Callithrix jacchus: one gene and its partners. The protein of the gene in region 1 interacts with the protein of each later gene in a pairwise test. Links are inferred from orthologs where the notes say so. Each region holds a gene or a part of one and is shown in the gene's direction. Other genes may lie near its edges.

Region 1 (4,735 bases):
TCAAGAAAAACAACTAATGGGCACTAGACTTAATACCTGGGTGACAAAATAATCTGTCCAATAAACGCTCATGACCGAAGTTTACCTATGTAACAAACTGAACTTAAAAGTTAAAAAAAATGGGTCTCATTGTGTTGCCCAGGCTGGTCTCAAACTTCTGGACTCGAGTGAACCTACCACTTTGGCCTCCCAAAGTGCCCAGCCTTAGATATTTATACATCCATTTATTTTTAGAGACGTGGGGAAAGAGGCAGGAGTCTCTCTCTGTCACCGGGCTAGAATGCAGTGGCCCCATCATAGCTCAGTGCAGTGCTTGAACTCTTGGGCTCAAGCAATCCTTCCACCTAAGCCTGCCGAGTAGCTGAAACGATGGGAGTGCACTACCTACCATGCTGGGCAAAACACGAATTTTAGGCACAACTGTATGCTTTCACTCATAAGATCGTCAGCTTTTGAAGGACCTCAGCCTTCCTCTAGTTGTAACTCCTCTCGTTCTGAGGAGAGCCTTCCCTTTCCTGTAGAACGTCTCCCCAATCCTTCTTCACAACCCTCCCTCCTATCCCTGAGCCACCTGCAAGAAGGTTTGTGCCAAGCCTCTGGTACATGGCACATTCTAGCTCCTGATGTGATTTGGTTTCATATGCCCGTGCTCTCCTTCTGGCCTGGAGGGGAGCTGCTTAAGGACACAGAGCCCACGTGTAGCCCTTCCTTGTACCCATTGTCCTATATAGCAGGTGCTACCTAGGGGGTGCTCTAGTAGCTTCCTTGAATGAACCAAAGAGAAGGGTTGAATCAGCGGCCTAGGAGCAAGCTTGCATGGACTCCTGTGTCCTGAAACCAGCCTGTGTCCGGGAACCACTCCAGAGCGGCTGGAAGATGCTAGAAATTGGAATTCCATCTCATTTCTAAACATCTGCTGCCACTCATCTTTTTTCAGGGTCATCGGTCATCCCCACTGTTCCCCCCACCCTCCGCACTTTGTATAATTGAGTCTCTCACATCCCTCCATCTTCTCCATCACTGTGTGGTCACTTCTCAAATCACGCGTCTGGAAGGCGCCCTCCTCTACCCGGTGCTGAAGGCCTCCCGCACTTCCCCTCGTTTCCTCCAGAAATGAGCCACAGTGAAAGCAAACTTCCTGAGGTCCCGAGATCCCGGAAACCGGCTGTGAGGGCCGCTGGCCCGCCCGCTCCAGCTGCGCGTGTGTGCGTGTGTGTGCGTGTGCGCGCGCGTGTGCGTGTGTGTGTGTGTGCGTGTGTGTGCGCGTGTGTGTGAGCGCGCGCGCGCGTGTGTGCGCGTGTGTGTGTGTGCGCGTGCGCGTGTGTGCGTGCGTGTGTGTGTGCGTGCGCGTGTGTGTGCGCGTGCGTGTGTGTGTGCGTGCGTGTGTGTGCGCGCGCGTGTGCGTGTGCGTGTGTGTGCGTGTGCGCGTGCGTGTGTGTGTGCGCGTGTGTGTGTGCGCGCGTGTGTGTGTGCATGTGTGTGTGTGCGCGCGCGTGTGCGTGTGCGTGTGTGTGCGCGTGCGTGTGTGTGTGCGCGTGTGTGTGTGCGCGCGCGTGTGTGTGTGCATGTGTGTGTGCGCGCGCGCGTGTGTGTGCGTGTGTGTGTGCGTGCGCGTGTGTGTGTGCGCGTGCGTGTGTGTGTGCGTGCGTGTGTGTGTGTGTGCGCGCGCGTGTGAGGGGCCAACCCTGGAAAGGAAACCGCGGCCTGGCAAAGGAGAAGAAAGGAGCCGCCCCCTGCGTCGCCAGCCCCCTCCCCACTTCCGTCCTGCGCGCCGCTCCCTTCCCCCGCCTCTGGCCTCGGGGAGCGAGCAGCAGCCGCTCGGGCGGAGCGGGAGGAGCTGGCAGCGGGAGGAGCATGCCAGGCGGGCGTCCTCAGGGCGCCCCGGCCGCCTGTGGCGGCGGCGTGGGCCACTGCGCAGGTAAGGGAGCTGCCACCACGTCCTAGCATGTCCTGGGGGGTCTTGGCAGGGAGGGCGCGCTCTGGCCCCCAGGAAGTCTTGTAGGTCGGGGCGTGCCTCTGTTGACAACCCCTTTCGAGGTGAGGAAACTGAGGCAGGACGCGCGGCGTGCGGGGTTGAGAGAAGAGCCAGTCTTGGGCTGCTAGCCCGGTGCCAGCGCCGAGCCGGGCCAGGTCCCAGACCCAGGACTGTGCAGCTATCCCCTGACCTGCGCCCCCGCTGCGTGTCCTGGTGACCGGGGAGGGTTGCCAGGGCGTGCTTGGGTTTTGGATCCGTCCCGGGACACCTGCGCCGCGCTCACTCTCCTTGCGGTGCTCCCCAGCCTGCGCCCCCACGGGACAGGGGACGTCCCACCCACCTTAATCCCCAAACCCTGGATCTCTGGTTCCACCCCTTCGGGCACCTAGGGGGAGGAGGCTGGGAGAGGGACCAGGAACTGGTGCCTGTGGCTCGGCTACGGGCTGCTCTGAAATCAGTTCCACCGCCCACTTCCTACTAGGCACGCCCACGGCCCAAGCCGGAGACTGCTCGGTTTCCACCGCCGGAGCGCGGGTCTCGCGGTCAGCTCTTAGTGATGCCCACTGAGTGGATGGTTGCTTTTCAACATCACTCTTAAAATATTCGCAAAGGAATGTGAGGTTTTCCAAAGTCAGTGAAATTTGGAGTTAGGGAGTGCTTCCTTGTGTCCTTGCTGGGTGAGGACAGGGCTGGGTCAGTCACTTAAGCCTGAGCCTCAGTCTCCTGAACTGTAAAAGAGAACACTTATAATCTGGCCTCCCTGTGTCGTTAGCTTTGTTGTATGGGAATTCACTTTGCAGTGTTATCATCGTCCAGACAAACTTGAGATGAACAACACTAGGACCACATGAGCTGGGGTTTGGAGACAGTCTGCATGTCAATCCTGGACTTACCGATGCCTCAATTTCCCCGTTATTAAGTGGACACGATCACAGTACCTGCTTCATAGTGTTGTTATGCACTTTAACTGTGACCGTGGACGTGAAGCACCTCACCCAATGCTTGAGATACCCAGCGTGCACTCAAAAAACCTTAGTGGCTGTTTTTACTAAGCAAACTCTAAATAATTGGGAGGAACGTGATAATACCAGTTGGATTTTATTAATGTAGGAATAGCAGGACATTTAAAAATAAATGTAGTTTTTTACACTCGGCATGATACATGAAGTCGTCTGAGGTTCAGTTTTGTGCCACAGAGGAAAAAGAGCCCTGGACAAGAGACATGCAGCTTTTCTGGCTCTTGGAGTTTGAGCCTGCTTTCTCATCTGTTTACATAAAAGATAAAAGAAAAATGGGGGTAGTAATTACTGCCTTTTGTTCTGATCGCATTGTCTGAGGATCAAATGAGGTAAAAGATCTGAAGGCACCTTACGTGCGGAGTGTGAGTCACTAAGCACATATCACACATGATAGTACTAGGAGGGAAGAATAATATCTGCGCATTTTTAGAACTTAAAATGTGCCAGACATTTCATTAGGAATTCCTCTGATGAACTCCTCCCCATATCTGTATGGGACTGGGATGACAGTCCTCATTTCCCTATGACAAAGATAAGGTTCAAGGTCACCCTGCTTGGTTCCCAAGCTCACAGAGCTCTTGAGCATAAAGCCAGGATTAGAACCCTGGTGTGTGCCACTCACAGCTGTGTTCTCGGCCACTGGCCAAACTGAAATTATAGGGTGGAGCCGTGATTCAGAACAGACCTATATTAGATTTTAGGTAACTTTTTGTTTTTCTTTAAGAGATACAGGGTCTTGCTCTGTCACTCAGGATGGAATGCAGTGGCGCAGTCATGGCTCACTGTAGCCTTGAACTTCTGGACTCAAACAATCCTCCTGGCCCAGCTTTCTGAGTAGTTGGGATTACAGGCACATGTCACCATGCCGAGCTAATTATTTTTTTAGAGATGGAGTCTTGCTATGTTGCTCAGGCTGTCTTGAGCTCCTGGCTTCAGTCATTCCTCCCACCTTGGCCTCCCAAAGCACTAGCATTACAAGCATGAGCCACTGGGCCCAGCTTCCATCCTGCATATCTATAGACCCAAAATGTAAGACTGAATTGTTAGTTCTGGCAAAAGAGGCTTTGGGGTAATTCTAATTTCTTTCAGCCTTGTTTTATAAAATATACTTTAAACTACCTTCTTGTATAATGAATGATGACAATTTGCAGAAAAGTTATTAAAACATTGAAGGAACAGAAGGCGAGATCTCATTGCAAATCTCAAAGTGGTATCTGGATTAATGCTTTGTTTTACCATTCATTTGCCAGAACCTTTAGGATGCCACATGAGGTGTTAACAGGGATCCAGACTTTGGGTGTCGTGGTTACCTTGCAGGGCTGGGCCGCAGGACTTTTCTGCAGAAAGCTCATTGCTCACCCAAGATGCCACCAGAGGAAGCAGAAACTTCTGAGAGGAGCATGAATGTTCTTTGTGCTGCAGAAACAATTCCTAGTTTACTTGTTTCCTAAATTAAGTTTATCTTACGGGTTTTTATTTTTCCAGAAGCAATGCTTGCTCATTACAGGAAGCACAGAAAACTGTAAACTAGTAAATGAACATTAAAAACTACTGTAATCTCAGCAAGGTAGACAAATAGCTTGGTGTCTCTGTTCTTGTAACCCCTTTTTCTTTCTTTTTTTTTTTTTGAGATGGAGTTTTGCTCTTGTTGCCCGGGCTGGAGTGCAATGGCGTGATCTTGGCTCACCGCAACCTCTGCCTCCCGGATTCAAGCGATTCTCATGCCTCAGCCTTCCGAGTA
Region 2 (4,193 bases), on another chromosome or scaffold:
AAACCCCGAGACTGAGTGTACTGTTCCCTCTTCTACTTCCAACATCATGTTTTCATGGTGCTCTCCAAGCCTGAGATTCATTTTTCAAAGTAAGCCTTCAAGGTACATTGCCCACAAACCTAATATCTTCATGAAGTCCCTAAATAAAGATGTAATTATTCTTTTAAGGAAACTGTCATGGGAAGAAAAAATCTTCAATTCCAGAATAATATCATCCCTGAATTAAAGATTTTAAAACTTCTGGAGGCAATACCAATCCACTTGCATCACCAGGCCAGAGTGAAAGGGCTGAAAGTTCTCCTCCCCAAGAGAAAGCTCCTTGGGTTGACTCAGTGTTCAGGACCAAGTGCTGCCGTGTAGGCTTACTTAGTTTATTTCCAACTGCGTCAGATTTTCATATTGACCATGTGATCGATATAGGAGATTGCTTTTACTGAAAGCGAGAGGAAAGCTCTGTCACCACAGTGGTCCTACAGATTTTAAGGTGCCGTACGTGGTTCACAATGTAATTTTCTCACTGCAATTCTTGCAGTCTGATAATGAATGAAGTCCTACAAATGCACAATGGCTAGTGAATAATCAACACCAGAAGAAGCTGGAGAGAGGCACACACTGACTAGGGCGCTAGAATATGAACAGCTGAATACCCTGAACAATCCATGATCATTTTACAGCTCAAGCACAGGGTTGTTAGCATTGTTTAGTCCTGCATATTTATCTGCGCTTCTTAATCTTCTTGCTTATTGATTAGTATGGCATGGGGAGCAGCACCAAAGCCTCCTTCACCCCCTTTGTGGACCCCAGAGTATACCAGACGTCTCCCACTGATGAAGATGAAGAGGATGAGGAATCATCAGCTGCAGGTAAGCAAGAAGGGCCCAGTGTTTTAAAAACAGCTTCGTCTTCCTTCTGTTACAGCCTGATAAGAAAATTAATCCTCAGTTCAGTAGTTAAGCCAATTACTCCTTATGTCCTGTCTTAAAAGGAAGATTTGTTAAAATTATTATTTCTTGTTAAAATTTTTGTTAAAATTATTATTATTTAGGTATCTTAAAACAAACTTACTTATTTCCATTTTTTTTTTTCCATCTCTTCTGTTTTGTTTCTGGTAGACCCAGGGGTATATAGAGACCCTAGGAAAGCTGTTCCTCAGTGATCTCTGAACATAACCAAATATTTCCCCAAAACAATTTCTGAGTACAATGCTTTGCACACAGTAGGCCCTTAATAAGTGCATGGTGCATTGTGTTGAGTTCTAGGTGTGTGCTTCCCACTACAAAAATCTGGCTAATTTAGAGGAGGGTCTTGCTTTCTAATGTTCTTCAAGTAATTAATCATCAAAGCAGCTTAGGATAGTTTTGCAATTGATACTCTGGAATTTCAAAAAGTAGATCTTTTTTGCTTATATTACAGGAGTGGGGATGGTGTATTTCATTTGGGGAGATTAATATCAACTTTCTAAGCTGTCCAAGTAGTGTCTATAAGCCTGTTTTGCTAATTAATGAAACACTGCTTTGATGAATGACTTATATTTTATTCACTTTTTTAAAAGTGTAAAATAAGAAGAGTTTCAGTGTTTCTTTGCCTTTACTATAATTCAAACCAACAAGGAGAAATCATAGTGTTTTGAAGTCTCATCTCCACATCTTCATAGGTTATCTTTAAGATGCCACTGACTTCTCTGATTCTTTTTCTCAAAGCTCTGTTTACTAGTGAACTTCTTAGGCAAGAACAGGCCAAACTCAATGAAGCAAGAAAGATTTCAGTGGTAAACGTAAACCCAACCAACATTCGGCCTCACAGCGACACACCAGAAATCAGAAAATACAAGAAACGATTCAACTCAGAAATACTTTGTGCAGCTCTGTGGGGTATGTCAGTGCCTTTTTTTTTTTTTAATAACCTCTTACTAATGAACTGACCCCCAAACAGGAAAAGCCCGTGGATCTTGTCATCAAAAGAACACTGGTTGAATGGTGGGTATCAGATACCTAGCTTGGGATTATCTTGACTTCAGGAGAGACCAAAAGCCATTTTATATGTAGAAATAGCTGACACCCTACTAGCCGGGATGATGCGATTAGATTCAAACAACCTTGCCGCAAAATAGTGATGGGCTAAAGCCAACAAGAGAACTAGCTACCACCTGATACACTGAATGTGCAAGGCAAGGTCTGTAATCTGATCAATCAGAGGTGAGCTGTGTCCGGCACTTCGTGATATACCCCACGCTCATTCTCCATGATCCATACAGCCTGCGAGGGGAATAAGCACATAAATCATGGCATAACCCTTCATTTCAAGCTGAAAAACCAGCCCAGAGGATTTTAGTGAATTATCCAAGGTCATACCACTAGCAGTAACAAGATAAAACTTGAAGAGAACAACAAATAATATGATGAACTTTGCCTTTTAGTTTAAAACATCAGTCTGCATTTCTTGTGAAAAATATCTGCAGGTTTTAGCTGACCTCAGACCCAGGATAGGCATGATGAAATTCTGTCAAAGTCTTGGTCTATGTTACTATGAACATCTTATACAGATTAAGGAAGGGCATGTTCCCTATGTACCCATTGAAAACAGTAGGCTTGGAATTGGGGAACTGTACTTTTCAAGGGCTGAAAGCATTTGAGATGTTAGTAGGAAAGAGTGTGAAGCCTAGAACTATTTCATGATAGATGCTCTGTCCTCTGGAGAAGGGACAGAAGAGAACAAGATAGCCACATTTAATTTAAAAGGATTAATATGTGGACAAAAAAGCAGATATTTGTGTTGATCAGAAGATAGAAGTACAATAAGTAAGATAAGTTGGAGAGTTACATGTTCATGAATGTAGTACACTGCACAATGAGCGTCTCAATGTGTGTGTGTAGAGGGGTGGACGATAAATTTCCCTAGCAATGCATTTTTAGGATTACAACGACCCAGACAAAACCACTTACCTGCCTGTGCTTCTGGAATAGGGATTCCTGCATGGGTGTTGGGCTGCACTAGATTTAGAGAACTGAGAAGTCCCTTAAATGAGTATGTTTGTGACTCTCCAGCTATTGACACTTCTCTTGAATGAATTTATAATTTCTCCAAAAAAGAGCAGAAACTTGAGGGTAAGGGGCATAAGGTAGTTAGATTTTGGTTCAAGGAGGAGGAAGGGCCTTTCTTCCAATGGAGTATGGAAATGAAATTTCCATTGTACACTGAAGGCGGGCAGGCTAGAAATCACTGCACGGGGGTGGGGTGAACCTTGGGGAAGAAGAGAAGTAGATTTATAGGGAGAGCCAAGAAAGAAGTGGTTGTTCCAGGAAAGGAATAAAGGAAGATTATGCTAGCTTCATATCTGTGCCCAAGGCCCCTGTTGACAAGGACTCTCTGCATTAGGTAGTAAATAGGACATGTGAATGAAGCTACAACTTTACAAAAGGAAATTGTGATTTCATTACCAGAAGTACAATGCTTTAATTATTACGTCAGAGCTTCTACTTCTACACTTATTAGTTTATATTTACCTGCTTGCTCATTAGTTTATATTTACAAGTCACAGTTTCTTAGATTTTTATAGGGACTCTTGATGCCGAAGATTAAAGTTTGTGAAAAGTCAGTCTTACGGTGCTTCTTAAATTTACAGGTGTAAACCTTCTGGTGGGGACTGAAAATGGCCTGATGCTTTTGGATCGAAGTGGGCAAGGCAAAGTCTATAATCTGATCAACCGGAGGCGATTTCAGCAGATGGATGTGCTAGAGGGACTGAATGTCCTTGTGACAATTTCAGGTATGTTACTAAAATGATGAGTCCCCCACGTCCAAACAGGTGGGAAAGGTGACCACCCCTTTTCTGCAGAAACAGTTAGCTCTGCCCTTCCCAGCTAACAAGCAACACACTGAAGTATAGCAGTATAGCCAGAGTAAGGTTGCCCACATTTTGTAACACTGAAGACTGTGACCTCCAAAAAAAAGTCTGTCACCTCTGCATTGAATCTGAATTAGGCACAGACACACCACAAAGGGTATATATTTATAGCTCTTTACATCTGTCAGGACTCAGCAAGGATCTTCAGATGTTTTTAGGTTTCGGAACTCCAGTTATTACCACATACAGACAGAATATCAAAATGCAGGCTTCCAAGAGGGACATTTAGTAAGCAGAAATTTCTCTGGTCTCTTCCCTCAAGAAATTCTCTTGCTTACAGTCCACTGAT
Region 3 (4,193 bases), on another chromosome or scaffold:
ACTATATCACCTATCCCATATAGAAGATTGTGCACTAACTAATATGAGCCCTGGAAGACCAAGATCTGTCCCTGCTTTATACTTTGGATCATTTATTTCTAAAGATCACAACTTTCAAAGTTTTATTATTTCTTAGGTCTTCATGGAAGTTCGGGAAAATTAACTGGATCTACTTCTAGTCTAAATAAGCTCAGTGTTCAGAGTTCAGGGAATCGCAGGTCTCAGTCATCTTCCCTGCTGGATATGGGAAACATGTCTGCCTCCGATCTCGATGTTGCTGACAGGACCAAATTTGACAAGGTAAACTAAAATAACAAGTACTTCTTAAACACTAACATTCGTTTTCTTTTCTAACAGCAGTGTGTGGTTGCTTTAAGTGTGTTCAAAGATTTGGATTCTTCTGGCTCTCTTAAGCATTAACCATATCTTACTTCCCAATGGAATTGAATCTGGAAAAAAAAACTAGTCAAAGGGCAAGCAAAATGTGAATTATCAATGAAATAACATAAAAAATGTATTAAAATTTGTGATAAATCATAAAATGCTTGCATCTCAAATCTAAGTTGTTCTGAGCACCTAGAAAGTAAAGAGGAAATAAAGCTTTTGTGATTCTAACCTTTCTCTGTACTGCATTAAATATGTTTTTTTGTTTTTGTTTTTGAGATGGAGTCTTGCTCTGCCACCCAGGCTGGAATGCAGTGGCACAGTCTGGCCTCACTGCAACCTCCACCTCCCAGGTTCAATCAATTCTCTTGCTTCAGCCTCCCGAGTAGCTGGGATTACAGTCGCCCGCCACCATACCTGGCTAATTTTTGTATTTTTAGTAGAGACAGGGTTTCACCATGTTGGCCAGGCTGGTTTTAAACTCCTGAGCTCAAGTGATCCTACTGCTTCGGCCTCCCAGTGTGCTGGGATTACAGGTGTTAGCCATCATGCTTGGCCATAAATGGTTTTAAAAGTTGATCTTTGTGTTCCTCTTTCTAGATTTGAAGTGAATAACTGAGTTTTATTTTAGGTATGTTTTGTGGTCTTGTTACACCTTGTTAATACCATTGTCCTGTTGATCTTGGAAGAGTTAGTCTTTGGGATTCCATTCAGATTATAAATTTATAGATAGAGATTAATGAGATTATGGATCCATGGTCCATGCAGGAAAGAGAATTAAACGTGGAGTGTTATTTTAAGCATTTGGTGCTTAAAAGTTCTTTCATTATAGGATGACTTTGGTTTTCTTCAGATCTTTGAACAGGTGCTAAGTGAACTGGAGCCCCTATGTCTGGCAGAACAGGACTTCATAAGTAAATTTTTCAAACTGCAGCAACATCAAAGTATGCCTGGAACTATGGTATGGCTCACAATGTATTTTGGCTAGTATTTATGATCTGTAACATAATTAGCTTAATTAACATGTGGTCATAATTTTATTATGAGAAGAGAAAAGGAAAGAATTTATGATGTAAGAATTTATGCAGTAAGGATTTAGGATATAAGGAATTTTTGTCATACCACAAGATAATAAAAACAGTGACAATTGAAGTTTGGGCATCTAATTTAATATTTCAGAATATGGATAAGCCTAAATATTCTCTAAATTAGTTGGGGAGAGGAATGTCTGAGTTTAGTTTGTGAAGAACATTATTTAAAAAGCTATTTTAACATTTTAGTAGTCATCAAGACAAAGATAAGTTTTAAAAATGATGTTTGAATGTATACATTATGGTATAGCAAATGATCATAATGATAAATAAAAGAAAATGAGGCCTTAGATCTGTCTTCCTTTTGGTTTTGTTACTAACTAGCTACGAGATCTTAAGCCAGCAGTTTTCCTCTTCTGTAAAGTGGATATTGTAGTGCCTACTCAGCATGCCTTTCTGGTAGCATACATGTAAGAGAATTAAGAGGAGACAGTTTCTTGAAAATTTTGAAGAACTTAAAAACAGTGCAAATAAAGTGTGTTTTAAATTATCATCTCAAAATTGTATGGTTCAGAAAACCAACATATAACAGCAGTCGTTAAATAAATGAGAAATTAATTATTATAGACAGTTTAGAATGTTCATTGTTATGGTAATAATGGTGGCAAATTTGTTTGTTGGCTTCTATAAAAAATTGTATAGCATTTTTTGTAATACTGAAGTTTTATTTGAATACTTGATGAGATTTCTGTAATTTTTTAAATTCTCTTTTAAAAATTGGGTTTGGACGTTTTCTATTTTTATGGTTATTGTTGTCGAGCTGCCCCCATTCCTGTACCTTGTGTTCAGCTTCCTGCACCTCCCTACTTCCCCTCAGGTGCACACATACAAATACAGCTTCTCACCCCACACAAATTCTTGGATAAAATTTAAGAACAGAGTAGCTCATGAACAGTCTTAATATACTAAATTATATAGCTACCTTTATCAGTAATGCTACCTTTAAAAATCATTATTTTTCATAATGTATTCTTTCCTAGGAATTTTTAAATTGAGCAGGCTTTTGCTCTATAAATACTAGTCAAATTGTTGTCTTTTGTTACGTAAAGTGCCTGAATAATTTTTACAGGCTGAAGCAGAGGACCTGGATGGAGGAACATTATCACGGCAACATAATTGTGGCACACCACTGCCAGTTTCATCTGAGTATGTCTTTGTTACTATCTATTGTTTATTTTGAAAAAAAAAAAAAACAACAACAACAAACTTTAAAACATGGATTGCTACTCATTGAGGGGTCCAGATATTTCTCAGCAGCCTGACAGCGCTCACAGCACTAGCATATATGTCCATTGTCTTAGCAAACGTTTTACTGATTTAAAATTGGTCCTATTTTATGGCTCTTCAACTCTTCCTTGCTCCAGGACTCACAAAAGATGAAGTCAGTCTGTTGTTTGCTGGTAGGAGGAAGCGTTTGAATTGCAGTGTATTTCTTAGAAATCATAAAGCACATTTCATAACCCACTTTTACAAATTAAAGCTAATTCAAATGATAAAACCCAACTCCAATAAAATATTTTTATGTCAAAAACTACTATAATCATATTTAGACATTTTTATTTGGTTTTTTTTTGTCACTGTTGTTGTTGTTATTGTTATTTTTTGAGGTGGAGTCTCCCTCTGCTGCCCAGGCTGGAATGCAGTGGTGCCATCTCAGGTCACTGCAACTTCCACCTCCCAGGTTCAAGCGTCTCCTGACTCAGCCTCCCAAGTAGCTGGGATTGCAGACATGCACCACCATGTCTGGCTAATTTTTGTATTTTTGGTGGAGACAGGGTTTCACCATGTTGGCCAAGCTGGTCTCGAACTCCTGACCTCAGGTGATCTGCCTGCCTTGGCCTCCCAAAGTGCTGGGATTATAGGCATGAGCTACCATTCCCAGCTATTTAGACATTTTTAACTGAAATTTAATCTTTTTGTATATACTCAGTGGATTAAAGTTAAAAGTGAATTCACCTGAAGCTTGCTGTAACTTTATACATCTTGTCTGTTTTCTGAACAGGAAAGATATGATCCGCCAAATGATGATTAAAATATTTCGCTGCATTGAGCCAGAGCTGAACAACCTAATTGCATTAGGAGACAAAATTGATAGCTTTAACTCTCTTTATATGCTAGTCAAAATGAGTCATCATGTGTGGACTGCACAAAATGTGGACCCTGCTTCTTTTCTAAGTACTACATTGGGAAATGTTTTGGTGACTGTCAAAAGGAACTTTGACAAATGCATTGTAAGTTTTCTTTTTTAAAAAAATACCTTACCATCCTACTGATTGCAAAATATAGATATATGTATTTAAATTGAGGGATTGCTAGCTTTCTGTTGGGGGAATCTATTGTTTATGTCCCTCAAAGCAGGGCATGGCAAAACCATCTATATGAACAGAGTTAGTTGGGTGACACTATGCCAGCTAGTTTCTCTTCCACACTGAATCTTGGAGCAAGTTCTGGAGTAGATGGCACAGTGGCAGCAGCTGTTCATGAGATCCACTGGAGGCTGGGCACAGTGGCTCATGCCTGTAATGCCAGCACTTTGGGAGGCCAAGGCAGGCAGATCACCTGAGGTCAGGAGTTCAAGACCAGACTGGCCAACATGGTGAAACCCTGTCTCTACTAAAAATACAAAAATTAGCCTGGCATGGTGGCTCATGCCTGCAATCTCAGCTACTCAGGAAACTGAGGCAGGAGAATAATGAAACTGTGAGGCAGACCTTGCAG
Region 4 (4,193 bases), on another chromosome or scaffold:
TGCTTGATTTTTGCTTCCACCTTTTGGCTATTGTGAATAATGCTTCTGTGAACATGGGTGTGCAACTAATGGCAACTTTTAATTCTTCTGGTTTTTCTGTAAGTTTACAAGTATATTTTGGTTTATCTGTTAAAAGTCCACCTCTCTATTTTGTCTATACTAGGGGTAAATTCCTTCCTCGTGTACATGGCTTTCAAAGATCGCTTCCAGCTAACGGATTGCCAGGTAAGAAAGTTGGCTTTTTGGAAGAGGCCCTGTGGCTGGGGAAAACAGTCTCCAGCGTATGCATGTCTCCGAGCTTCCCGGGAAGTGGCTGGTGGTTGCTGTTGCTGATGTAATTGAACCTTGAAAGAGAGTATGAACCCAGTGCCCTGGCCTCCAGCCACTCCACCACCTTGGATCTGAGGCTCTGCCTAGCATGGCGTGTCTGGGAGGGGCACTCAGAACCTCCTCAGCAAACCTGGTGCAGAGCCAGGTGTCACTCAAGAGCTGCTTACTCCTGGTCCACGTCCTGCTACGTCGTGCTGCCTCTGTTAATTTCTGACGGGTCTCCATCAAATGTGGCCAGAAACATTGCCCTTGGGCATGTCAAAAAAACCAGGCTAATAGAAGCAGCCTGCGCGTCCTATTTCTCATCCCAGAAATGCTGCCGGCAGGGAGATGATTGTCATTGTGAACAGGAAGATGGAAGTCCCCTGTCTCTGACCCCATCCTTCTCTCTTTCAGATTTATGAAGTATTGAGTGTGATCCGGGACATTGGCGCCATAGCCCAAGTCCACGCAGAAAATGGCGACATCATTGCAGAGGTACCGGGCTTTCTTTTTCATCATTTCTTCATCACCTGGAGGGCAAGAGCCAGGCTCAAGAGAGGGAGGCGACATCTGTAGCTTAACACCAAGGTGGAAAAGCAGAGGGACCCAGTGTTCCCTGCGGGAGCTCTGCTCAGTCTCACCCATGGCGTGAATGCCCGTGACACACGTGTCTCTCCGTTTTCGCTCAGTCTCACCCATGGCGTGAATGCCCGTGACACACGTGTCTCTCCGTTTTCGCTCAGTCTCACCCATGGCGTGAATGCCCGTGACACACGTGTCTCTCTGTTTTCCCACAGAACACCTAGTCAGTTACCATTGCAGAGAGAGACCATTTCTCTTGGCGCTGTAACACAGCTGCCTTGGGTGGGGTGCGGGAACCCTGATGTCACACACAGACATTTTATACTGTGGCTGAGGGCCACAGATGTACCAGCTGTCAGCATCCCAGGGAACAGCTGAGTGGTTTTGGGAGGCTGTAATTGATCCATCCTGCTCAGGCGGGACTGGGAACAGGGCAGCAAACCCTTCTCTTCCTGAGGTCTTGGGATGAGGGCACAACAGTCGGCAGTGACAGTTTTCCATCTTACCCGGATAACTGCATGCTGGGTTTCTGCCATCAGAGCTGTGTGAAGTCTGCTCTCCCTCACAGCCTGGCTTTCTCTAAACATTGCAGGAGCAGCAGAGGATCCTGGATCTGGGCATCACGGGCCCCGAGGGACATGTGCTGAGCCGGCCCGAGGAGGTGAATGTCTGCCAGGCAGAATGCGCAGAGCCACAGGGAACCCGTGTTGAGAAGGGGGCATCTCTGATGCTGACTTTGGTCTTTCTGAGAAGCTGTGGGTCACGTGTGTGTGTGTGTGTGTGTGTGTCAGTCTACATAGGCAAAGTGAAATGTTAGGCTGCTCCTGAGGGTAAGGTGGTGTGACCTGTCTGGCCAGAAGAGTCTTCTTTCTGTATGTTACTCTCCAAGCCCTTGCCTATGTAGACACAGACAGTTCTTCACTGGCATCCTGCAGTCTCGATTTTAGTGTTTCACAACTTACGGTCTCTAAGGTCTTCCCAAAGTTCACCGAAACCTAGTTGGAAGGATTGAAAAGCTAATCTAAATGTCTAGAAGGCATATGGGGAATTGTAAATTTTTCCAAGGTAACCCTGCACAGGATATCACATGATACGCAGAGTTTGGCCGACAGAATCTTTTGAAATTGTAGGGGAAAAATTCATAGCAGGGGCCTGTGCTGGTCCAAAGGTGGAGAATCACCGTCCTGGTGAGGGGTGTGAGTTTGAAGGGAGGGTGCGCACGTCTTAGGTGATGGAGAACCTGTGTTCCTCCGTTAGAATTTGTGGCTGTGAAATACTTTTCAGAAGCTGGCTCCTTAATGACAGGCCGGATGTCAGGCTCTAGGGGCCCTGATTAGGGAGCAGCCTGCAGCTTGCAGGGAAGAATGTGATGGGGGAATCTCTAGGGAACCACCAGGGTTTCCCCTTCATGAGAGGAAGTGGTAGAAAAGGGACTGGTGCAGAGCAGGGGTGTCAGATCACCAAGGGCTTGAGTGGCGGCTGACAGTGAGGAGGCTCCAGAAGCCCATGAGGGAGGAGCTTGGCAAGAGCTCCCTGCAGGGCTGTGGCCACCGAGTCGCTGAGTGTCAGCATTATGCTGCTACTAAATTTGGGATGTATTCTTGTTGGTACCAGGTTGGGAGGGGAGCTGCTCCCGGTGATGAGGAAGTGGATTCAGGAGGGATTGGGAGCGAAGGAGCCATTTGTGTACTGCCTGGGTATATGAGGGGGCTGTTGGGAACCATTCAGAATTGAGAAGAAGGGATGAGGCTGGAAGAGGAGGAAGGAGGCAAGACAGGCAGAAAGAGGAGAGCGGGAGCCATCGGAATGCTTTGCACACAGCAAGGTCCATGCTTTGTTCTGCCCTTGTTGCTGCATGCATATGCGCTCTAGACATACATGTACCCACAGACATAGGCACACACACACACACACACACACACTCATACACTGTAGACATACAGAAAGACATTTAGACACACACACAGGCAGATATACAGACATGCATGCTCCAAGACACCTTCAGTACCATTTGAGGCCCCGAAGAGACGTATTCCTCTCCCCAGGCGACAGCACAGAAGCCATGACATTTTCAGGATTGTATGTTGCTGCTCCAGGCCAGGGATGCAGGCCATTTTGTAGCCATCAACCTTGTCATGTGCACTAAAAGCTGAAAGGGTGGCCTCATCCTTCAGGATCAGGGAGGCAGGCAGGCCCCTGTGTCAGCTGAGGAAAGCCCTGTGCTGAGATGGTGACTGGTGGACAGTGACTCCAGGGGACAGCCTGCAGGTGAGAGCAAGCTAAGACCAGCTGACGATAAACATGCCTGAGGCTGATTTTATGCACCTTTGTGTGCATACAGATGCACGTGCACAAGCACACGCATGCACCCACATTCACACACATACGTGCATAGGCACAGACATGCACATAAACACACATATACATATTTTCACACACAGGTGCAAAGCACACGTGTATACACATTTTACGTTACACATACACTTGTGCAAGGACAGACAAGGTATGCACACATACACACATTCTTACACACACGTGCACATATGTGCTTGCTCACACCTGTGCAGGCACCATCCCACTTTTGCAGACACCTCAAAGGTTCCCTTCTGTGGCTTCACTTCTCCCTCCAGGCTGGCTTCGGGGACTGCCTTCACTAGATCCCCCAGGATTCACCTGTTGGGTGGTTTAAACCATGGTCACGTAAACCGTGGTCGCCCTCAGCCCTGACCTCCCTGGAAGTGATCCTTTGTTCAGCCCTGAAACATTCTTGGGATCAGGCCTTGGAAATGCATAGAGTCTGGGAGAGGTGGAGGGCTGATTGGGTTCTCATGTGGGCCCTGTTCAAAGCTGCCTTCACTTAGTGCTCACGCGCCCTGGACGCTGTGTTCCTGGCTCACATTTTACCTTTGTAACTTTCCTGTGCGGGAGGTACAACAGCATCTTCTTTGCACAATTCCAGGGGGTGCTATTCATGCAGGCTGCATGGCTGTATCCAGGGAGCACCATTTACATTCTACCCCCATGTGTGGTGGGACCAGAGTTGTGCTGCCGTGGGCTCCTTGGTTATCTCTTTCTTTACATGAGGACACTTCGAAAGCATGACTGCCCTGTTATCAAAGCAAAGAGTGAGCAAGTGCAGGGTCCCGCCTGCTACCCAACCCCTCCCGCACTGCACACACATGCAGCTTTAAGCCACACCTGGGCCTGCGCTTCATTAGAAAGTTTCCTCCTGTTTGGTGACTGGGAGCCAGTCCCTCCGCCTGCCATGTACCAGCTGTACAGGTGGTGAGAAGACATCC
Region 5 (4,193 bases), on another chromosome or scaffold:
TGAAAGCAACAGCTCTGATAAAATAAATGATTTACCATGTTTTGAAAACTGATAATAGTTTCATCATAACTCATCTGTCCTGCAAATGTTCTTTCCTGATATTTTACCTGACATTGGCAGCTTGTTGAAAGATTTCATAGCTTGTAGTCACTACTTGTACACAGATAGTTCACAGGTATATTCTAAAGTTTATGTTTTTGTTAGGAATATTATGTTTGTCAGACCACTCTTGACCAGCTTACTTTCAGATTTTTTTTACAGAAAAGAGCAAGCCAACTATGGTATTAAACTCCAAAGAAGATTACCATAACTTTGCAGAATACTAATTATTTTGTCATTAGAAAAAAATAATCACCCAGACTGCCATTTTTTCAAGTAGTGTCTTACCAGGAAACACCTAGAATTGAAGAACAATAAAATTTCTGATACCAGATCAGAATAGTAATTCCCACTGTATACTTGAATCCTGCTTTATCATGTCCAAATTTATATATGAGTAGATGCCAGTGTTGTAGAAAAGTGTTTAAGATTAGAAATTATTTATTTAAAAGTTGTGTCTGCCAGCCAGATATTTTTCTCAGAACTTTTTGTTCAAATTTTTTTCCTTGAACTAGGTCTCTGTTTTCTTCCCTTGGTATTCTGGGGTTATTCAACCTTAATGTTCTTGCAGAAGAAACATGGCTGCCATTTTTCTTCTTTTTCCCTGTTTCTGATTCCCTCTTATAGCTTTCCTTCATCCTAGTTCCATCTTTCCTCCACCTCCTTAGAATTCCTTGGCACATAAGGAAGCCCATTGTGCTTCTAGAGTTCCACTACCATTTACTTGAAGAATTCTTTTTCTCTGTTAGTCTTTCGAGGACTAAAAAGAAAGCTTCACTTTTTCTAAATTAAAGCCATAGATTAAATAATTACAACTAAAAAATACTGAATTTTCCAACCAGCAATATCACAGATCATAAGTATTCTTGTACAGATTAAGTGATTCTAGTATTCTTTTTTATTAGGCAAAAGAGATTTCACTAGCCGACCTCCAGGATAATTATATTGAGGCATTAAATAAATTAGTGTCTGAAAATCAACAACTACAGAAAGATTTGATGAATACCAAATCTCAGCTGGATATTTCTACTCAGATATGCAAAAAACAAAATGACGGGATCTTTAAACCAACACACAGCAGAACAACTGAGTTCAAGAATACAGAGATTAAGTAAAATTTCTTAAAAGTTTATTTAAAATGTGTATTGGTACAATATAATTCTCATTTCTTTGAAAATAATTTCTGACTTACGGAAATTAAATCTTCATCAAAGGGCTCCATGTTTAATTCTGAAGTATAGTGTGCACAAGTAAAGCTATGATCATGTTAAATTAATCAGGGGGAGGTATATAGCATTTTCATTAAAGCTTTAGTTTTGTACACTCTGGTTGTCAGTATAAACAACATGTGTATTACATGAGGCTTTTCATGCTCCCTCCCACCTTTTCAACCCCATTTGCCCCATAAGAAGTAGAATTTGGCTTTTTATAAACAGCTTCCTTTGTGATTTTAGTCAATTTGTTATAGGCTGTTACCGTAAGCAGTAAGCATTCAGTGAAAAACCACCTGGCTTCAGCTTATACTATAAGGCTTACATGTTTTCCTACCCAGAGCATTTGCTGTCACCCTCACTTCCATTCCTGTACTTACCCCAACCTGCTAGTGAGGTAAGGTGCCTTCTTATGTGCCCAGTACTTCTGTCTTAGCACTAACCACACTAGATTACTCTGGCAGATTATCTTTCTTGGCTATATCATAGGTATTTGAGGGGGCAGGTACCTGGTAGTGGGGATTGGATCTTTGGGGCCTGAATGAATGAAAGTACATCTGATCTGAGTAGGTGGCTAATTTTGTAAATTCTAGCCTTATTAGTTAGGCTATTTGCTTAAGCAAAGTTCCTACATTTTTGTTGGAAAGAGAAAAGTTACTACAATTTTCTATTTGTTTTGTTTTCTAATCTATCATCCAGGCCAACCCATGGCCAGCACAGACATGATGGAATAAAGATTGAGCACTATAAAACAGGTCTTCATTCTCCAAGAGGACGAGCGTCGGATAGTATAGACCCCATGTCCAGGGTGCTAAGCCCCCTGAGTCCTCAAGTCAGCCCTTGCAGCTCCACCAGGTCTTTGACTTCCTACTCTCTGTGTAAAACTCACTCTTTGCCTTCAGCGCTAGATACAAATGAAGCCAGTTTTTCTGACACTGTGTCTGAGAGTATGAATGACCAAGAAGAGTTTATGTCTTCGGTATGGAAACTTTCTGATCTTCTTAATTTGTTATTGTTTTTAGTTTGATTTTATTTTTTAAGGGTGAAGAGGGTGATTCTTTTGTTTTCTTATTGATTCATTTATCATAGATACTCTTCTCAGGTATCCCTGTCATACAGTTTTTGCTTATAAAGATACATTCAGCCAAGACAACTTTTTTCAAAATATATCCTAGTTCTGAAACATAAATTAAAGGTGTTAATTTGTCCTTAACCGTAATTGGAAATTCCCTTCCTGTCCTTTTCAGAGATGCTCAATTTTTTGCTGGAATGGTTAGTTTAAGAAATGTCTTTGGATGCCAAGATAGTCCTGAGGCACAGGCAGTAAAGGAGGAAAAGAGGAACTGCTGGAAAGGAGAAAGGAGGCACAGAGGTGGAAGAAGGCTGTGCCTCTGATGTGTGCAGAGCATGGCTTGAGTGTCTGTGCCTAGGACACCATGCCATGCCAGTTCCTTGCTCCTTTCATTGCCGTGCAGGCTGTGCCATCTTTTTGCCTTCTGTGCCAGAGTACTTGCTATGGGCCCGTCATTTCCTGTCACCAGCTGTGGCCATATTGCCATGAAAAGGCAGTATTTTTGACTTACTATGTGCCACCAAGTCCATGGAAAGGTTTTCTTTTATTTCTTAGAGTAAGTCCTCACTTCACTTTCTTCTTAAGTTTAGCAGCAAAAATTGTTTGGCATTAAAACTTTCCCTGGCCTGAACTGATGTGTTAATATGTATAGACTTTCCCTATTCTACTTAGTGTGAGTATCCATGTGTTTTGCTTCAGAAATGTGTGTGTTTGGTTATGGAAAGTTCCCTTAGACTCCACTGGGGTAATACAGTTGATCCTCATTATTCATAGATTTTGTATTTGTGAATTTGTATACTCCCTAAACTCTATAACTCCCAAAGTCATTCGTGGACATACGCAGAGTGGCAAAAATTTTGAGTGACCAGTTTGCACAATGTCAGCCAAGATCAAAGTAGGCAACACTCTGCCTTCTTGTCCCTACTTACGTGGAGGTGACCAGAAGCTAGAGACGGCAGGGGCAGTGCAGTATAGGGAAAGAAGCTCAGCTCTGTGCCAGTTGGATGGAGTCTGAATCCCAACTTCGGCACCAGTTAGTGGGGCGGCCTCAGGAGAGTTACCACTTCTGAACCTCATGTCTCTCATATGAAATAAAAAAAATACAAAATCTACCAGAATGAATTGTTCTAGGATTTAGGATTATACTCTGTGTGTGTGTGTGTGTGAATTTGTTGTATGTGTATATTTTCCCTGGGCCAAAAATTTTGTATTTCCTATTTCAGTGTTTTGGGTGACTTCATAGAACACAACTACTGCTATTGGGAATGAGTACTGACTACATATGGCATATGTTCTATATTACCTTTCTAAAATCAGAATGCTGAAACATCGCTAGACCCAAGGGTTTCAGATAGGGGACTGTGGACTGAAAATTTGGAGGAGAAAAAATATTGATTTTAACTGGCATCTAATTTATTTTTGTTAAATTTTCTATGCTTTAAAATCAAAGTGACATGCTCAGGTTTTTAAAGTAAGTCTGAAATCATAGGCATTAACTACAGAAGGATATAGACATCTAAATTGAAATATTTTTCAAACTGATAACTTATTTATGATACTTTACATTGTTGCACCTTGGGTCAGAAAGGGAGAGATGAGTGTTAATTTTTGCAGAACTTACTGATTTTTTTTTTCTTTTATTGCTCTTTTTAGGATAAAAACCAAAAAAACTCTCTTCAGAGAAAAAAAATCACCTTTTAATATTGCTAGTTAGAAAATATCATGAACAGTGTGTCTTAGAAATGTAACACTCATTTACACATGTCAAAATTTGTCTCTCTTCCAGTGTTCCTTGCCTGTATCTCCCCTTG
Region 6 (4,193 bases), on another chromosome or scaffold:
TTGGCAAGACAGCTGATCGATCGCACTGGGCACATAGCAGACTCCAGAATAAGTTAGTACTTTGCCCCATTGCCCTGAGCTGGGCTCTTACCTGGGCCCTGCCTTTCCAGGGGACAGCGAGCCCCTCAGTGAGGCAGCTCGGGCACGCACCCGAGAGCTGGGCCGTGAGAACCGGCGGCTGCAGGATTTGGCCACCCAGCTGCAGGAGAAGCATCACCGCATCTCATTGGAGGTGAGGAGTCAGGGGCTTTGGGGGTGGGATTAGAATGAGACAGGAATTGGGTTAGATGGGCACTCAAGGACCTCAGGAACCAAGTCCCCCATTCAAGCATCTGCTTCCTCATTGTTCCCAGTACTCTGAGCTTCAGGATAAAGTTACATCGGCAGAGACCAAGGTGTTGGAGATGGAGACGACAGTGGAGGACTTGCAGTGGGACATCGAGAAGCTGCGGAAGCGAGAGCAAAAGCTCAATAAGCACCTGGCTGAGGCTTTAGAGCAGGTGGGGCTGAGGTGCTGGGGCAGGTGAGACAGGGCTGGGTGCTGGGGTCCTAGCTCCTCCCCTCCACATTCATTGCCTGTCTTCTCTCCCCAGCTTAACTCTGGCTATTATGTGTCTGGGAGCTCCTCAGGCTTCCAGGGGGGGCAGATCACACTCAGCATGCAGAAGGTGAGTGACATCTTCCCAGCCCCTCCCATGATCTCTTCTCTGTTGCACCCTTGAAATTCCCCTCAGGACGAAGGACAAACATCCACCGCTGAGGCCCTTCCTGGTCACTCCTGCTGCTCTTTTTTTCATGCATTCATATACTTGTTGAGTAAATTTTTGAACACTTTGTGTTAGTCAGTAGGCATATTGGCAAGAACAAAATAGAGGTCAAAACTTTCATGGACCAGACAGGAAATAAATAAAAGAACATGTATTTAGATTCTACTTGTGGTAGCAGATAAGAAATCAGTGAAATAATGTATCAGTTTGTTATGAGTACCACAAAGGTAAAGTACAGAAGAGAGAGATGGAAGTGAGTTGGAGTCAGTTGGCATCCGGTGGTCACTGTGCCCTTTTTCCCTTTACTGTCACTTTAGGGCTTCTTGAAATGCTTCCCTGACTCCCTATCAGTTAAGAGCCTTAGTTCCCAGCTCTGACCATGCAGTATTGAATTTTCTCCAATTTGTCTGGGAGCCCTTAGGAAAGTCCTTGGTTTGGGGCATCAGAATCAATCACTGCCCTGCACAGGGGCAGTTGGGGTAGAGTGTATGGTGGGGATATAAGGGAGGCCTACTGCCACACCTGGCCCCACCTCCCTGCCTCCCACTCTGTAGTTTGAGATGCTGAATGCAGAGTTGGAGGAAAACCAAGAATTGGCCAACAGCCGCATGGCAGAGCTGGAGAAACTGCAGGCCGAACTTCAGGGGGCTGTGCGGACCAATGAGCGCCTCAAGGTGGGCTGCCATAGGGGCTGAGAAGGTCTGTGCCTGGAAGGGAGGGGCTGAGCCCTGAATCTTACTGATCCCATTTGGGCATCCCTACCCCTAGGTGGCTCTGCGGAGCCTTCCTGAGGAGGTGGTGCGGGAGACGACAGAGTACCGTGTCCTGCAGTCCCAGTTTTCACTGCTGTACAACGAATCTCTGCAAGTGAAGACCCAGTTGGACGAGGCTCGGGGCCTGCTGCTGGCTACCAAGAACTCCCACCTGCGACACATCGAGCACATGGAGGTATGGCCCTGGAACAGGCATAGGGGCTGGGCTAAGGGCCAGACCCTTAGTGTTGAGGTGTTCCTGGCTTCAGAGGCCCTGTGTGCCTGCCAGCGGTTCCTGGAGAATAGATTTCTTCCTAAACCACTGAGTCCTGAGGTGGGACCAAGGGTCTTTGTGGGTCCTTAACACATCAACCCACAGAGCGACGAGCTGGGGCTGCAGAAGAAGCTGCGCACAGAGGTCATCCAGCTGGAGGACACACTGGCCCAGGTACGCAAGGAGTATGAGATGCTGCGCATCGAGTTTGAGCAGAATCTGGCGGCCAACGAGCAGGCGGGTATGTGGTGAGGATAGGGCAGAGGTGGGGCTTTATCTGGGAGTGCTAGTCCCTGATGTGGGGCTGCTTATCCACTTGCAAGAGGCTAAGCCCCTTTCTTTCACAGAACTTCAGCTTCCTATGCAAAAGAGGGCCTGCACTGCTTGGCTCCCAGGCACAGTGAGGGTCACACCAAATGGGATGGCTGATGGAGCAGGCACATGCAGACTTTGAGCTGTCAACCTTGTCCACAGTCCTCTGGTCTGATGGTGTCTTTCTCTCTCTCAGATACTTGTGTTAAAAGATTTATCAAATGTCACCTAGGAGCCAGGCTCTCCTCTAGGGTTTGGGGTTATGCCAGTGAACAAAACAAGGAATTCCTGCCATGTGGAGCAATATTCTAATAGGAGAAGACAGACTAGAGGAAGACAGACTAGTAGAAGAATAATGGAAAATGTGTTAGCAACTGACAAATAAACTAAGGAAAGTAAAGCAGAAAAGGAAGATGGGAAGTATTAGGAGAAAGGTGTTGCAATTTTGGATGGGAGGCCAGGGAAATATAACAGGGATGGTGATGTTTTTTTTTTTTTTGAGACGGAGTTTCGCTCTTCTTACCCAGGCTGGAGTGCAATGGCGCAATCTCGGCTCACTGCAACCTCCGCCTCCTGGGTTTAGGCAATTCTACTGCCTCAGCCTCCAGAGATAGCTGGGATTACAGGCACGTGCCACCATGCCCAGCTAATTTTTTGTATTTTTAGTAGAGACAGGGTTTCACCATGTTGAACAGGATGGTCTTGATCTCTTGACCTCGTGAGCCACCGCGCCCAGCCAAGGTGATGTTTAAGAATCTAGAAGTTGATTAACTTCTGTGAATGTTACACCTTTCTATTAAAGGAAATTGGATATATTAAAAAACAAACCAAAACCTAGGCCTGGCATGGTGGCTCATGCCTGTAATCCCAGCACTTTGGGAGGCCAAGGTAGGAGGATTACTTGGGGCCAGGAATTCAAGACCAGCCTGGGTAACAAAGTGAGACACTGTTTCTATTTTAAAAAAAACAAAACAAAAACAAATGCTCTACGTTAGCAAAAGTCATATGAATAGGCAGTGTCCAGTTACCTTTGGGTGAATTTCCTTGAAGTCACCATTTTTTACTTTCATGAGGTCATGCTCAGTCAGGGCCATAATGTTCTCTCCTGCACAGTGGAAGTGGATGGCACAGCCTCTTCCCCCACTGAGGGGTTGGAGCCCTAACCCAGGAACTGGTTCTGACACCCTTCCTGATGCTCCCCCAGGGCCCATCAACCGTGAGATGCGCCATCTGATTAGTAGTCTTCAAAACCACAACCACCAGCTAAAAGGGGATGCCCAGCGATACAAGCGGAAACTTCGAGAAGTACAAGCTGAGATTGGCAAGGTGAGGAGGGGCTGCCTGGGAAAAGCTTTGGCTAGATTCCATTGAACACTATCATTTCATGCCTCTTCCTCTCTGCCTTTGCAGCTCCGGGCCCAGCCCAGTGGCTCTACCCACTCCACCCCCAATGTGGGCCACTCAGAGGACTCTGGCCTCAATGCCCCAGCCCCAGGGAAAGAGGAGGGTGGGCCAGGCCCTGTCAGTATCCCTGACAACAGAAAGGAGATGGCTCCGATGCCTGGTACCACCACTACTGCCTCCTCAGTGAAGAAGGAGGAGCTGGTCCCCTCTGAAGAGGATGTCCAGGCCTTAACCCCTGGGGCCCAGGGTCCTTCCTTCCGGGGCAGAGAACCTGAGGCCAGGCCGAAGCGGGAGCTTCGGGAACGGGAGGGTCCCAGCCTGGGACCTCTACCTGTAGCTTCAGCTCTCTCAAGGGCCGAACGGGAGAAGGCCAAGGTGGAAGAGGCCAAGCGGAAGGAATCAGAACTCCTCAAGGGTCTCCGAGCGGAGCTCAAGTGAGCCTCTGTTCCTGTCTTCTTCCTGACCCTGCTAGGTGGCCCCCAGTCCCACTCACCAAGACTTCCTCCTGTACCTTCTTGCCAGGAAGGCCCAGGAGAGCCAGAAGGAGATGAAATTGCTGCTGGACATGTACAAGTCTGCGCCCAAGGAGCAGCGGGATAAGGTGCAGCTCATGGCAGCGGAACGCAAGGCCAAGGCTGAGGTGAGGGCAGCTGGGGCTTGTGGGGCATTCAAAGAGGCCAGAAC
Region 7 (4,647 bases), on another chromosome or scaffold:
GGCTCACGCCTGTAATCCCAGCACTTTGGGAGGCGAAGCCAGGTGGATCATGAGGTCAGGAGTTTGAGACCAGTGTGACCAACATAGTGAAAGTCTCTACTAAAAATACAAAAATTAGCCAGGTGTGGTGGCATGCGCCTGTAGGTCCTAGGTACTTGGGAGGCTGAAGGGGGAGAATCTCTTGAACCCGGGAGGCGGAGGTTAAAGTGAGCCGACCAAGCCATTATACTCCAGGCTGGGTGACAGAGTGAGACTCCGTCTCCAAAAACAAATAAATAAAGAAATATTTCACATTATTTTAACTTACTGAGCCCATAACATCCAGTGTGTACTTCACACTGAACAGCATATTTCGTTCAGACAACCTACGTTGCAATGCTCAGCAGCCACGGGTGCCTAAGGTCTACCAAACTGGATAGCCCAGCTCTGAAAGCTTCTGTGAGGATCAGGTGACCTAAGGGGTGTAAGGGGGCAGGGCCATAGGCTAACACATCAACGTGGCAGATATATTCCTCCTGTCTCTCCTCTCTGACGCACACACAGAATTTTCCACATTTAAAAGGCCTTTACAAGGGCGCAGGAGCCCAGGACATGTGACAAATCCAGTCCTTTTCTGGCCCCCGCCCCGCCCCCCACAAAGCCATCTTTCTTCCCTGTAGGGGCGAAAGGCCACCCACCCCGCCATCCTGGCATTCCTTTCAAGCAGCTGCCAGTCGGCTCCCCCGAGCTCTCCACTCCGCTCCACGCTGTCCCCGCCACCCAGCACCGGCGTCCCAGCTGGGATGGAGCGGGAGCAGAGTCCAAGCTCCTGCCTAGGATGCGGGAAACCTTTCCACCCGCTGGAGACTCCTCTGTAAATGGGTCTTCAATTCCCAGCTCCCCACTTCAAATGGTACTCAACGCCTCTTCCCGGCCCTGGGGGCTAGGACCCTGTTCCGAGGCAGCCTCTCCAGTCTCTAGCCCCTCTTCTAGGGTCCAGAGTAGGCGGGGTGGGGTGGGGATTGCGGCGTGAGCTAACCCAGAGCCAGGGGGAGGCCGGCGCCCGCAGATCGAGCAGGGGGCTGCGGCTGGGCCTGAGGTCCGGGCATCACACTGGCCGCCAGACAGCAAGGCCGGGCGCCCACTCGGGACCCAGCGGCAGGCGCAACCGGTCGAGCGCCCCCGCATCTCGCACCGCGCCCTGGCTCCCCCTCGCGGTGCCGCAGTCCCAGCCGCGCCTCTCGCGCGGGCGCAGCTCCGCCCATCATGACGTCGCAGGGTAGGGCAGGTCCCCGGTTATAAAAGGTGGAGCTGGGGGGCGGCGGCAGGTCTCTGCGCAGCCGAGCCCGCCGGTCCACGCCGCGCACCGCTCCGAGGGCCAGCGCCACCCGCTCCGCAGCCGGCACCATGCGCGAGATCGTGCACATCCAGGCGGGCCAGTGCGGCAACCAGATCGGCGCCAAGGTGGGCGCGCCGCCGCGGAGGGGCCCGGGCTGGTGACGGAGGGTGCGGGCTGGGGCCGGGGTCGGGGCAGGGGCGGGTGTGGGAAGCCTCGGTGGCTCGGGGCTGGCCGTGTGGTACACTCCGCGGAGAGGCGGGCGGGCAAGGCGGGGGAGGCTGCACAACCCGCCAGGATGCCCGCGGCCCCCGTAGCCGTGTGAGTCTTTAGTCGGCGCCGTTTCGATTTCCCTGGGACACAGCCCTTCTGCGGGACGCAGTTGGCATTCCGCTGGGTGTATTAGTCTCAGAAACTTGGGGCGAGGATATGGTCATATTTATTCCGCTAGCTTCATGAGATATTTAATTTGTACATTTTTCTCAACGGTTTGAATGAAAACATGCAGTGTCACTGGACTGACAGGTGTAACAGAGGCTTCCCTTTGGGTCACACAGGCGAGGGTGTTAGATAAATTCCCTTGTTCCCTATTTCCGGCACTGTCTAGACATGAAGTCTTATAACGCCATAGTCTTGCTGCCAGTCCCTGAGGTGGCAGGTGACTGTGCTGGGTGGGGGCTGCAATTACCGACCGCTGTGTGGGAGGCAGCAGCCGGCTTGCTGCATGGGTGGGGGTGGTGCCTGTACAAGGACGTGGTCTCTTTGAGAACCGCCATGTTGCCCACCCAGCCTCCCCGCCCCCTCCCTGTCTTAAATTCACAATGGAGCCAGCGCCCTCACCATGGCCAGCTCCTTCCACTGCCACCCAGGCGTCCTCCCAGGTTCCTGCTGCCCTTCCCTGCCCAGTCTCTCTTGTGGTCAGTGCCAGCATGTAGATCGGTGGCTTAAACCTGCACTGTTGCAGGGGTGCCTGGGATCTATGCCAAGAGAGCTTGATTCCTGGAGGCTGCCACAGTGTGGGCTCCCCTGTCCTCAGTCCTGCCACGACCCATCAATCATCCCCGATGCAATGGCATTCAGCCCTGCCTGGGGTGACAGAGCCTCCCTGTACCACTTTCCCACCTCTCTACCCTCCTGACCCTCTCTCTAGAAGGGCATTTGCTGTGCCCCCTCCTCCTCCAGGGCCCCTCCCAGCCTTTCAGTCTATCGCCATAATATGGCCGATGCTCTGCGGATTTTCAAGCCCCTCAGCAGTGGCTGCTGCAGGAAATAGGGGGTGCAGCTCTTTGCTCTCTGTCTAGCACTTACCGTCTGACCACAAAAGCCCCTGTTCCAAGGACATGGGAGGAGGACAAGGCCATCCTTAGTGACATTCAGGACGCTGGGCCATGGTCTGGATCTTTTTTCATTTCAGTTTTGGGAGGTCATCAGCGATGAGCATGGGATCGACCCCACAGGCAGTTACCATGGAGACAGTGACTTGCAGCTGGAGAGAATCAACGTGTACTACAATGAGGCTGCTGGTGAGTAGCGGGATGTGTTAGCAAGAACATTCCTTCTTCCTAACAGGAATCCTTGCTTCCCATGCTGTGGGAGATGAACCGTCCTAGGAACATGCACGTGACAAAGGCATGCTTCTTGCATATTCATTTCAAATGCCAACTGCTGGAAAAACACACGTAATGGTTCCCTAAGAATCCTGCCTGTTCGCCACGGCTAAGCACACTCAAGACCTCCTTTTTCTTAAAAGCAGAGAACCTCCTGTTCTCCTTTTGTCTCAGATGCTGGAGCTGTCTTTAATGAATGTTGCTGTGAGTCCCCCCCAAGTACAGGTCTGAGTCAGTTCTCGTTCCCTGCAGGTAACAAATATGTACCTCGGGCCATCCTGGTGGATCTGGAGCCTGGCACCATGGACTCCGTCAGGTCTGGACCCTTTGGCCAGATCTTCAGGCCAGACAACTTCGTGTTCGGTATGTAGTCACCATCAGTGGGAACTGGCCAAATGCCACACCTTCTTCCTCACAGCCCTGCAAAGCACAGTTCTTAGTGTTCACTGCCAAGGTGACACTGTGTCCACGGGCAGCCCTGAGTCCTGGCCTAGTTCCACCCAGTCCACGGGTGGTCATGGCTCAGAGATCCACACCAGCCTGCAGAGGGCTGCTGCAGCCCTCCCATTACAGAGCAGCCTCAGACTGGAAGAAAGAGCAAGGAAAAGCTTCAGGCCAGGTTTCATAGGCTACAGGCAACTTGAAAGGACTTCAAAGAGCCAGGGGCCAAAAGTACAGGTTATGACTAGAGCTTAGACTGATGCTAAAGCCACCTTCTCTCCTGGTCACCTTGAATATAAAGAGAATGCCTGTTTAAAATGTATGTTTCAGAACTGTGGCCAGGCAAGGTGGCTCACACTTGTAATCCCAGCACTTTGGTGGGAGGCCGAGGCAGGCATATCAGGTCAGGAGTTCAAGACCAGCCTGGCCAACATGGTGAAACCCTGTCTTTACTGGAGATACAAAAAAATTAGCCAGGCGTGGTAGTGTGCACCTGTAATCTCAGCTACTCAAGAGAATGAGGCAGGAGAACTCCTTGAACCTGGGAGGTGGAGGTTGCAGTCAGCTGATGTGCCATTGCACTCCAGCCTGGGAAACAGGGTGAGGCTCCATCTCAAAAAAAAAAAAAAAGTAGGTATTTCAGAACCAACTAAGTTTTCTAACCCTATCCTCTTCCTCAGTCAATAGCCTCAGATGAGCTAAACTTGCTTTTTACTTTATTATGAGCCCATGTTTTTGAGGCTCACTGACAAAAATATTTCTTTAGGTAATAGAAGAGTATTCAAAAGAGAAGAATCTGCCAGTGTAAGATCAGTCCTACACTCTCCTCCATAGTCAAAATGACAGATTTTGAAATTCCTTATGTCTGAGTGTCTAATAGTCACTTTCCCTCTGGCAGGCCAGAGTGGAGCCGGGAATAACTGGGCCAAGGGCCACTACACAGAGGGAGCTGAGCTGGTCGACTCGGTCCTGGACGTGGTGAGGAAGGAGTCAGAGAGTTGTGACTGTCTCCAGGGCTTCCAGCTGACCCACTCTCTGGGGGGCGGCACGGGGTCCGGGATGGGCACCCTGCTCATCAGCAAGATCCGGGAGGAGTACCCAGACCGCATCATGAACACCTTCAGCGTCATGCCCTCACCCAAGGTGTCAGACACGGTGGTGGAGCCCTACAATGCCACCCTCTCTGTCCACCAGCTGGTGGAAAACACAGATGAAACCTACTCCATTGATAATGAGGCCCTGTATGACATCTGCTTCCGCACCCTGAAGCTGACCACCCCCACC

Evidence for each region.
Region 2: the proteins of DISC1 (region 1) and TNIK interact in binary tests that used the Homo sapiens proteins (3 or more experiments, as listed by UniProt). The link is inferred for Callithrix jacchus from reciprocal best matches to the Homo sapiens genes DISC1 and TNIK.
Region 3: the proteins of DISC1 (region 1) and EXOC1 interact in a two-hybrid assay, tested with the Homo sapiens proteins (2 studies listed by BioGRID and IntAct). The link is inferred for Callithrix jacchus from reciprocal best matches to the Homo sapiens genes DISC1 and EXOC1.
Region 4: the proteins of DISC1 (region 1) and DPYSL2 interact in a two-hybrid assay, tested with the Homo sapiens proteins (2 studies listed by BioGRID and IntAct). The link is inferred for Callithrix jacchus from reciprocal best matches to the Homo sapiens genes DISC1 and DPYSL2.
Region 5: the proteins of DISC1 (region 1) and CEP63 interact in binary tests that used the Homo sapiens proteins (3 or more experiments, as listed by UniProt). The link is inferred for Callithrix jacchus from reciprocal best matches to the Homo sapiens genes DISC1 and CEP63.
Region 6: the proteins of DISC1 (region 1) and RNF40 interact in binary tests that used the Homo sapiens proteins (3 or more experiments, as listed by UniProt). The link is inferred for Callithrix jacchus from reciprocal best matches to the Homo sapiens genes DISC1 and RNF40.
Region 7: the proteins of DISC1 (region 1) and TUBB2A interact in a two-hybrid assay, tested with the Homo sapiens proteins (2 studies listed by BioGRID and IntAct). The link is inferred for Callithrix jacchus from reciprocal best matches to the Homo sapiens genes DISC1 and TUBB2A.

What each region holds. Positions count from the first base shown.
Region 1 is NC_133520.1:53,273,247-53,277,981, reverse strand, and holds the start of DISC1 (disrupted in schizophrenia 1 protein), read left to right. Parts: upstream 1-1,786; 5' UTR 1,787-1,854; coding exon 1,855-1,918; intron 1,919-4,735. UniProt on the Homo sapiens protein: Involved in the regulation of multiple aspects of embryonic and adult neurogenesis. Required for neural progenitor proliferation in the ventrical/subventrical zone during embryonic brain development and in the adult dentate gyrus of the hippocampus.
Region 2 is NC_133518.1:15,981,750-15,985,942, forward strand, and holds part of TNIK (TRAF2 and NCK-interacting protein kinase), read left to right. Parts: intron 1-751; coding exon 752-863; intron 864-1,700; coding exon 1,701-1,871; intron 1,872-3,622; coding exon 3,623-3,766; intron 3,767-4,193. UniProt on the Homo sapiens protein: Serine/threonine kinase that acts as an essential activator of the Wnt signaling pathway. Recruited to promoters of Wnt target genes and required to activate their expression. May act by phosphorylating TCF4/TCF7L2.
Region 3 is NC_133504.1:140,867,354-140,871,546, reverse strand, and holds part of EXOC1 (exocyst complex component 1), read left to right. Parts: intron 1-136; coding exon 137-300; intron 301-1,237; coding exon 1,238-1,345; intron 1,346-2,544; coding exon 2,545-2,621; intron 2,622-3,477; coding exon 3,478-3,706; intron 3,707-4,193.
Region 4 is NC_133514.1:14,947,186-14,951,378, reverse strand, and holds part of DPYSL2 (dihydropyrimidinase-related protein 2), read left to right. Parts: intron 1-163; coding exon 164-225; intron 226-726; coding exon 727-807; intron 808-1,486; coding exon 1,487-1,555; intron 1,556-4,193.
Region 5 is NC_133518.1:49,614,844-49,619,036, reverse strand, and holds part of CEP63 (centrosomal protein of 63 kDa), read left to right. Parts: intron 1-1,004; coding exon 1,005-1,210; intron 1,211-2,009; coding exon 2,010-2,289; intron 2,290-4,168; coding exon 4,169-4,193. UniProt on the Homo sapiens protein: Required for normal spindle assembly.
Region 6 is NC_133513.1:30,303,799-30,307,991, forward strand, and holds part of RNF40 (E3 ubiquitin-protein ligase BRE1B), read left to right. Parts: intron 1-110; coding exon 111-232; intron 233-353; coding exon 354-500; intron 501-593; coding exon 594-668; intron 669-1,321; coding exon 1,322-1,441; intron 1,442-1,535; coding exon 1,536-1,715; intron 1,716-1,898; coding exon 1,899-2,034; intron 2,035-3,309; coding exon 3,310-3,431; intron 3,432-3,515; coding exon 3,516-3,943; intron 3,944-4,031; coding exon 4,032-4,149; intron 4,150-4,193.
Region 7 is NC_133505.1:27,486,714-27,491,360, forward strand, and holds the start of TUBB2A (tubulin beta-2A chain), read left to right. Parts: upstream 1-1,305; 5' UTR 1,306-1,386; coding exon 1,387-1,443; intron 1,444-2,729; coding exon 2,730-2,838; intron 2,839-3,174; coding exon 3,175-3,285; intron 3,286-4,261; coding exon 4,262-4,647. UniProt on the Homo sapiens protein: Tubulin is the major constituent of microtubules, a cylinder consisting of laterally associated linear protofilaments composed of alpha- and beta-tubulin heterodimers.